2 linked regions of the Cricetulus griseus genome follow. The protein of the gene in region 1 purifies or fractionates together with the protein of each later gene. This does not show direct contact. Links are inferred from orthologs where the notes say so. Each region holds a gene or a part of one and is shown on either strand. Other genes may lie near its edges. The genes, in order: Atf2 and Atf1.

What was found.
Region 2: the proteins of Atf2 (region 1) and Atf1 purify together in Homo sapiens (affinity purification with mass spectrometry; 3 studies listed by BioGRID and IntAct, with this or other methods). This does not show direct contact. The link is inferred for Cricetulus griseus from reciprocal best matches to the Homo sapiens genes ATF2 and ATF1.

The regions. Positions count from the first base shown.
Region 1 is NC_048599.1:101,318,636-101,322,203, forward strand, and holds the end of Atf2 (cyclic AMP-dependent transcription factor ATF-2), read left to right. Parts: intron 1-2,700; coding exon 2,701-2,814; downstream 2,815-3,568. UniProt on the Homo sapiens protein: Transcriptional activator which regulates the transcription of various genes, including those involved in anti-apoptosis, cell growth, and DNA damage response.
Region 2 is NC_048595.1:396,707,650-396,712,174, forward strand, and holds the start of Atf1 (cyclic AMP-dependent transcription factor ATF-1), read left to right. Parts: upstream 1-1,616; 5' UTR 1,617-1,870; intron 1,871-4,525.

The sequences.
Region 1 (3,568 bases):
ATATATGTATGTTTCTAAATATAACCTGTTGAGTCTATGTAATGCTACCTATATGTATGTTTTTAAGGGTGAGTCATTGATACTGGACAGACAACTGGTATGTTCTTTCCTTAGGAACACCATCTCTCCCATTCCCAGTTTTCTTTAGTTGCCGGTAGTTCTTTGTGTACAGTTAAGGGGAGGTAGGGGCGGGGTCTTTTCTCCATTCATGTTTGGCATGTTCACTGATGTCATTCTTGTTCCGCTAACATTTAGACAGTCATCTTGGTGAGACTTTATGGGTGAGGGAGGTTTGGGAGGGTATAAGCAGTCTGATCAGGGATATGGGAAAAGGGAGGGGCTCCTTTGGGAGAGGCAGGGAGAGAAATACAGAAGAGGTGGAGGGGGAATAGAGGAGGATAGCAGTATTCAAGTGGTCTGATGTGGGAAGTGGGAAAGGGCAGCTCTTTAGGAATTGGGAGGACAGTCAATACAAAAGGAGAGAGGTAGGTAAAATAACGATAAGGATGTCTGGAAAAGCTACAAGCAATTAAACTATTAACTATTTTTTTAAAAAATAATCCCCCAAAACTATATACTCTGTGTATGAATATAGTTTTTTTTTGTTTTTATATGCATACATAGTTTTAATGAACCTTTCTCATCTGAGTGAACAAAACTTCCTCCAAGAACTAAAAACCATTGCCAATACCAGACATGATATACCCTCTTTTTAGTTATTGTCCAGGGCTTTCCAAGAGACTCACAAAACATACAGTCTATTGCTGTTGCACTTGGTCACTCCCTCTCACCCCCAAGAGGTGGAAGGTAAGTCCCTATTGCTAAGACACTGAACTTCAGAGCTAGGGCCCAGAGACCCCTGAGCTGGAACTGACCTAAATGCTGCTTCCCTGAAGACTAGCTTTCATGGTACCAGAAGGTGCCATACATGCTTCCAAAGCAGGGAAGCAATCAACAGTCTTAATCCAGCTATGACACCTAGAAACCACATCAGTGATCAGCATAACACAGTTAACCTAATGGTGCAATAGGGGCATACCATGATGGTAACCAGTAGCTCTTTGATTGGATTTAAGACCCACTTAACAAGAGGGAGACCGTGTCTGATACTGAAAAACCCAGTTACCTACTCAGTGCTAGTGAAGTCATATTTATTGGAGAGGAATCTATAGCCACCCATTCCTCTAAATTTTTAGTTGCACTTTTGTTTTGGTTTGGTTTTTGGGTTTTTTGTTGTTGTTGTTGTTGTTTTCAAGACAGGGTTTCTCTGTGGCTTTGAAGGCTGTCCTGGAACGACCAGGCTGGTCTCAAATTCACAGAGATCCACCTGCCTCTGCCTCCCGAGTGCTGTAACTAAAGGTGTGCGCCACCAATGCCTGGTGCATTGTTGTTTTGTCATTGTGTGTGTGAGTGTGTGTGTGTGTGTTTTGTCAGAGAGAGAGAGAGAGAGAGAGAGAGAGAGAGAGAGAGAGAGAGAGAGAGAGAGGTTTGATCCCCTGGAACTGCAATTGAACTCTAATCATCTGAAAGAGTAGCCAGTGCTCTTAACTACTGAAATATCTCTCCAGCCCCCACTACTATTCTTAAATAAAGTATTCTAAATTTACGTTAACCTTTTACTGATTAGGGTTATACTAGCATAAAGTTTTGTTCTGTGCTTTAGTACGCTGTTGCCAGTGTTATAGGGGTGTAGAAGACTATTTGCACAGTCATTTTTCAGATTGCTTAACTTTTGTTCTCATGATTTTGTTTTTGTCATCAGTCACTTAGGAAGGCCTAATACGACTAATCTGCTAAAGTAGTTCACATTCAGCTTTCTGGTTTAAGAGGTAGAGTAGAGGCTGGGTTTGGTGGTAAACACTTAATAGTAATCCCAGCACTCAGGCCTAGGGCAGGAGGATTGCTCTGGTTTAGAGGCCAGCCTGGGATGCAATGATACCCTGCCTCAAAAAGAGAGGTGTTGGTGGATTATGTGCCTGCAATTTTATGTATGCCAGTGTGCTGAATATTCTCACTTATTAATACTTTGGGGTTCATGGGTAAAACCTAGATGATTAGAGTTCATGTAAATCCGGATAAGAAGAAACATTTATAGTGAATTTTTAATGCTAATTTATTAAATCCATAGTATTTCTAAGTCATGAGTGTTGGTAAATGATCACTAATTTCTTAAATTAGATGAATTTATTTTAGATGTGTGTATCACAGGCAACAAATACATTTAACAGTACATCCACTTTCATTGGTTCTGGTACCCTGCATAGTGCTCAGCAAGTTTTCTTGAATAAATGTAATTTCTTTGTTTCTAAACTATATAAACTTGCTTAATTACATTTCCAGGATGAACTTTTTCAATGGAATCATTGAAAATTCATCCAAATTATTGACCTTTCAAGTTTTCAAATAATCAGAAGTGCATATAACATGTAAAGACCCTCAGTGCATAAGGGTTCCATGGCAATGGTGAGCTAGGATGCACAGTTATGGTATTGATATGGTTTCAGCTCTCTACACTAAAAACTTAGTATAAATGCTAAGACACAAAACTGATGGATATTGATTAAATTTATTTAAATAGTACATGTCCCTTAGTGTTCTGCCAAAAAGATAGACTTTTCATGCCTTAAGCTTTGCTTTCTTTAAATAGTAAAATAAGTTTTATCTAATGCTGGTAAGGCATATGAGCTGTTTCTTCTCCAGAGCGAAGTCACCCTGCTGAGAAATGAAGTGGCACAGCTGAAACAGCTTCTTCTGGCTCATAAAGATTGCCCTGTAACCGCCATGCAGAAGAAGTCTGGCTATCACAGTGAGTAATGTTCCATTACCTACAGCTGTAGGCTGTATCAGTGACAGACTGCCAGAGTGAGCAGTACTACCAGTACAAAAGTGCAGACTGCAGTGGTAGAACTTAAGATTAAATATCAGGGTTTCTGCAAGATTATTATAGTCTGGGGTAAGAAGAAGAAAAGTTTTCCTGTTTTTAGCTTTTTTCTAGGCATTAGTATGGATCATAAGTTGTTAACTAAACATTTTTAAGTACACTGTTTAATATCAGTGATCATTTATTGTCATATGTTGACACATCCTGAATTGACAGAGCCAGTTTTTCCTTTGCTGCCCCCATTTAGTAATGATGAGAATTTTTTAATCCACTATCTTCATTCAACCATATACTCTCCATTTATAGTATCCTATCCTATTGTTCTTTTATAGATAATGTCAGCATTGGACAATGTCTGTGTGCTTGTAAGTTTTATGTGGTACTGTCACATTAGTCATAAAAATACTAAAACAGAACAGTATTGAAATTATTTGCTTATGAATTTTCTTCTAAATGTGCCTCCCCCTCCATGAGATTCTTCTGTTTCCAGCTTTGTGGAGGTTAATTGTGCTTTTTCCTTTCTCTAATGTCCTTCTTCACAAGATGCAGTGTTGGAACCAGCTGTTACTCCTGAGTAAATAGCCAATTTTGTCCGTCACATACAAATTCATAACAAATAACAGAGCTGGGGATGCATTAGGCAACATTTATAATACATAACCCACGGCCTTTTGTTTTTATGATTTA
Region 2 (4,525 bases), on another chromosome or scaffold:
CTGGAGGACATCATCTGAACTTAGGTTAGATCTATTTTTTTTTTTTTCATATAGCCCAGGCTGGCCTCAAAACACATCATGATCCTACTGCCTCAGCCTCTGAAGTTCTGGGATTAGAGGTGAAAGTTACCTTACCATGTCTGACCTGACAAGTGGGCATGGTGATGCACGCTTAGATCCTAGCACCAGGGAAGCAGAAGCAGTAGGATCAGGAGTTCAAGTTTGTCCTCAGCTACATACCCAGTTCAATCTAGCCTGCTGCGTTATGTGAGACCCTGTCTCAACATGCTGTATATTTTGGGAACTGAGTCATTAGAATTGCTATGATGTGGATATGTGAACCTTTAAATTATATATATATAATTATATATGTGTGTGTGTGTGTGTGTGACTCCTCTGGAGCTGGAATTAAGGGGGTTGTAAGGCACCTTAGGTGGGTGCTGGGAACTGAACTGAGAGCCTCTGTGAGAGCAGTGCATGCTCTAAACCACCAAACCATCTTTCAAGCACAACTCGGGTAAGAATAAGGAGACTCACATGTGTTACATCCATTTAATTACTAACTAGGAATGATGAGGGGTTGGGCAAACAGGCATTTAGGATGGGAAGGCCACCTACCAGAGAAAAACAAACACAAAGCAAGAGTAGGTGGAGAGACAGCTCCGCTATTCAGAGAACTTGTCCTTGCAGAACTATTCCTAGCACCCACATGCCCTCTGGGCACCCCGCTGGGAAAGGGCTGGAGAGATGCCAGTTAAGAGCAGTGACTGTTCTTCCAGAGGTCCTGAGTTAAATTCTCAGCAACCACATGGTTGGGAGAAGTCTGCTTCGGCACGTCCCATTTTAATGGCACACAGTTTTTTACTTTATCTACTTTTTTGTCCTTGTTTTTGGTTTTTCTAGACAGGGTTGCTCTGTGTAGCTTTGGCGGTCTTGGAACTCACTCTATAGTCCAGGTTGTCTCTGCCTCCCAAGTGCTGGGATTAAAGGCGTGCGCCACCACCGCTCAGCCTAAAACAGCCTCTTAATAGGACAACTTTAAGCCGGGCGTTGGTGGCGCACGCCACTTGGGAGGCAGAGGCAGGCCGATCTCTGTGAGTTCGAGACCAACCTGGTCTACAAGAGCTAGTTCCAGGACAGCCTCCAAAGCCACAGAGAAACCCTGTCTTGAAAAACCAAAAAAAAAAAAAAAAAAAAAAAAGACAACTTTAAACTTCTTGCTAGGGAAGCAAGCCCAGGCCCTCATCCATACTAGCGAAGTGCTCTACTACTGATCTTCCCAGGCCCCACGTTCCCTTTGATCCTGCTGCCTCCACCTCCGCCCACAGCTCCTATGATGCTATCCCGAGGACTGGAAAAAAAAATCAAATAAAAGCTTCCCAACGTTCCTTAGCCTCGCAGCGTACGGAGCAGTGCTGGTCAAGGTCATGGACCTCAACGCCGCCAGAACGCTTAGAGCAAGTAGCTGAGCTCCAGCTGGAGGGCGGGCGAGCAGCACCAGCGAAAGCGCTCGGTTTCCCGAGCGAGCACACGCCACCCGCGCGCTCGCTCCCGAGGCTCGCCAAGATGGCGGCGTGCCACGTGAGCACGCGATGACGCAGCACGCCGGCCCACGCAGGCCCCGCCCCTCCCTCCCTCCCCAGCCCCCTGGCTGCCGCCGATCATGCCGCCAGAGACGCCCCTCGCGGCCGGGAAACGGTAACCCGGGACGGTTGGCTCTCGTTACCCCGCTTCTCTCCGCCCCGCCGACCCCAGGGAGAAGCGCCAGCCCGCCGCCGTCTGCGGCTGCGACGCGAAGAGCGAAGTCGGCGCCGCCTGGGACGGGGGAGTGGAAGTTCCCGCCCCGGGCAGCGGCCAGGCGGCTCCGCAGGTAAGTGGGGGCGGCGGGGAGCGGGGCGGCCCGAACGGGAGCGCGGTGACGGCGGGGAGGGACGCGGTGGCGGCCACGCGCTGGCCGGGGGTCGCGCGCGGCTGGCCGGTGGGGGAGGGGCGCGGGGGTGGGACGGGCCGCGCGCTTCCGGCCGCGCGCCTCCCGGCCGAGCGCTGCGCGAGCGTTGGGCTCGCGGGAAACAGGAGCCGCGAGTTCCGCCAAGCTCTCGGCCGCGACTCTCTCGGCCCACGCCGCGTCTCCGGGCGCGTAGGCGGGAGGAAGAGCCGGGGGCGGCCCGCACCAGGCTGCAGGCACCGGGTCCTCAGGCTCCCCCCGCTACCTCGACCACGGGGAAACCGAGGCCACCCGCCTTGCGGCGGGACGCGGTGCTTTGCCGTTCTTCCGGGTGTCTCCCAGCTGGCCGCTTAAGTTGTAGTAGAAAACTCAGTGTCTCGGTAGCTGCTCTTTCTATTTTTGAGGCGGGATTTGTTAAGTAGAGTTACTGGTGCAGGGCTTCTAGACGTATTCGCCTTTATGGTAGCTTTTGTGTGTGTTTGTTTTTTTCGAGACAGGGTTTCTCTGTACCTTTGGAGCTTGTCCTGGAACTCGCTCTATAGACCAGGTTGGCCCCGAACTCACAGAGATCCGCCTGCCTCTGCCTCCCGACTTGGGATGCAGAGGCAGGCGGATCTCTGAATTTGAGGCCACAACGAGTTCCACGACAGCCAAGGCTACTCAAAGAGAAAACCCCGTCTGAGGCGGGGGATGGGGACGACGAACAAAAAGATCTATTTATTACGAGGTATGTTGCAGACGCCTTTTGTCCCTCTGCTACCTTCGTAAGGTTACATTCACCGCCTGCGTGCAAGTGACTGAAGAGACCAGAGGTTGTCAGATCTGAACTGCAATTAGAGGTTGTGTGGTTCTAAGCATTGTGGCTGTTCAGATCGGATGGAAAAATATTCTGGCAATCCGGAGCCAAAGAATACCACAGGTCACAGTAAGCGTAGCAGCTTACAGCCCTGCTCCAGGAAAAAGTTGTTAACTTCTGCTCCATTCCAGGGAAGGAAGGTCTCATCCAACCCTCATTCAAGAGGTTTATTAGGAAGGACGAATCCAGGAGAATGGCTGCCCTCTGCCATAGCCACAAGCTCAACAGACACAGGGTTTATATAAGGCTTTTTAGCGCCCCCCCCCCCAAGTTTTTCCAGGATGGGGATTGGTCAGATTTCTATCTCTGAGCTCATATTGGCTAGATGTCCTGCTCAGGGATTGGTTAGTTTTCTGCACAGGTTCAGGGTCAAATTTGTCTCTGGTTTCGGGGCCAAAGTGTGTTTCTTTCACTGGTCCTTTTTAGTCGTTTGGCTCTAATTTTAGGTCCAGGGTGTATTTCTTTCACTGGCTCTTATTCCAGGGACCAAAGTGTGTTTCTTTGGCTGTCCCTTTTCCCTACAGTGGGTGCTGGGAACTGGTCCTGTGTAAGAGCAGAAAGGGCTCTTAACCGCTGAGCCATCTCTACAGCCTAGTGTTAGCTTGTCTGGCCTCATACTGTGTTCCCAACTGGTCTTAAATTCTTTGTGGTTCAGTTTGGCCTAGAACCCCCAGCAGTCCTGCCTTGAAAAGCATTCGGACCCTAGTCTTCAAGGGCCTCTTGACAGCATAGATGTAGTAGGAATCTTTTAAAATTGGCCTCACCTGTGATAAGTTTGTATAGGATTTATGATCGCAAAATACATTTATCCCAGAAGTTGGTTGTCAGTAGATGTTTTGTTTAAAATGCTAGTTGCCCCACTTTACGGTCTACACATAGAGTTTCATCTCCATTAGATTGTAGCTAAGTGGAAGAGTGTTTGCCTAGCATGCTTTATACTCCGCACTTGGAAACAAATCAGGAAACTGGATATCCTAAACTTGAATGTGACAGCTCCTAAATAGTGTGTGTAGTTCTTGATTGTTTGGTCTACAGGACTGTGATAGTAAATAGCACCAGAAGATGGTTGTCATGTCAAAACAAAACAAAACAAACCCTGACATGAGTTCAGTGAATTTCCAGTTCTCACATAGGATTATGTCTCAAGTTTTCCTGTGCCTCAGTTGCCCTGTTTCTGTACCTGGGGTGGAGTGCCATTATTTCCTCAGTTCTAATTAGATACATCTAAGTGAGCAGGTGGTTTTGTTACAGTGTTAAATGTGAAGATTGTGCTGTGTAGGGAAGGGATGTACTTAACTTCCTTTCTGGTGGAGAGAGAGAAAAAGGAATAAAAAGGCCAGTTTGGTCTACGAGCAAGTTGTAGGACAGCCAAAGCTATAGAGAAACCCTGTCTTGAAGGGAAGGAAAAACATACCAGGATATACAGTCAGCTTCTAGACTAGTTGAGGGGAGGTCATCCTGTAGGTTTGCCTGGAAGAAGTCTTAGAAGTCCTCAGGAGGAAGGGGAATAAATTGTGTTTGTAGTATAGGAAATCACATGAATGAAAGCCTCAAGGTAAGTCATGGAGATGAGGAGTGGCTCCCTGACCCCAAACTTAGCACAATATTGTTAAAATACTGTATTTGATACTTGCTGTTGGTCCATGACATCTCTGCTGGCCACTGAGCACACATAAATCTGTTTAAAACTTGGAGAAATAGCCTGCCTGGCAAACACAACTCAT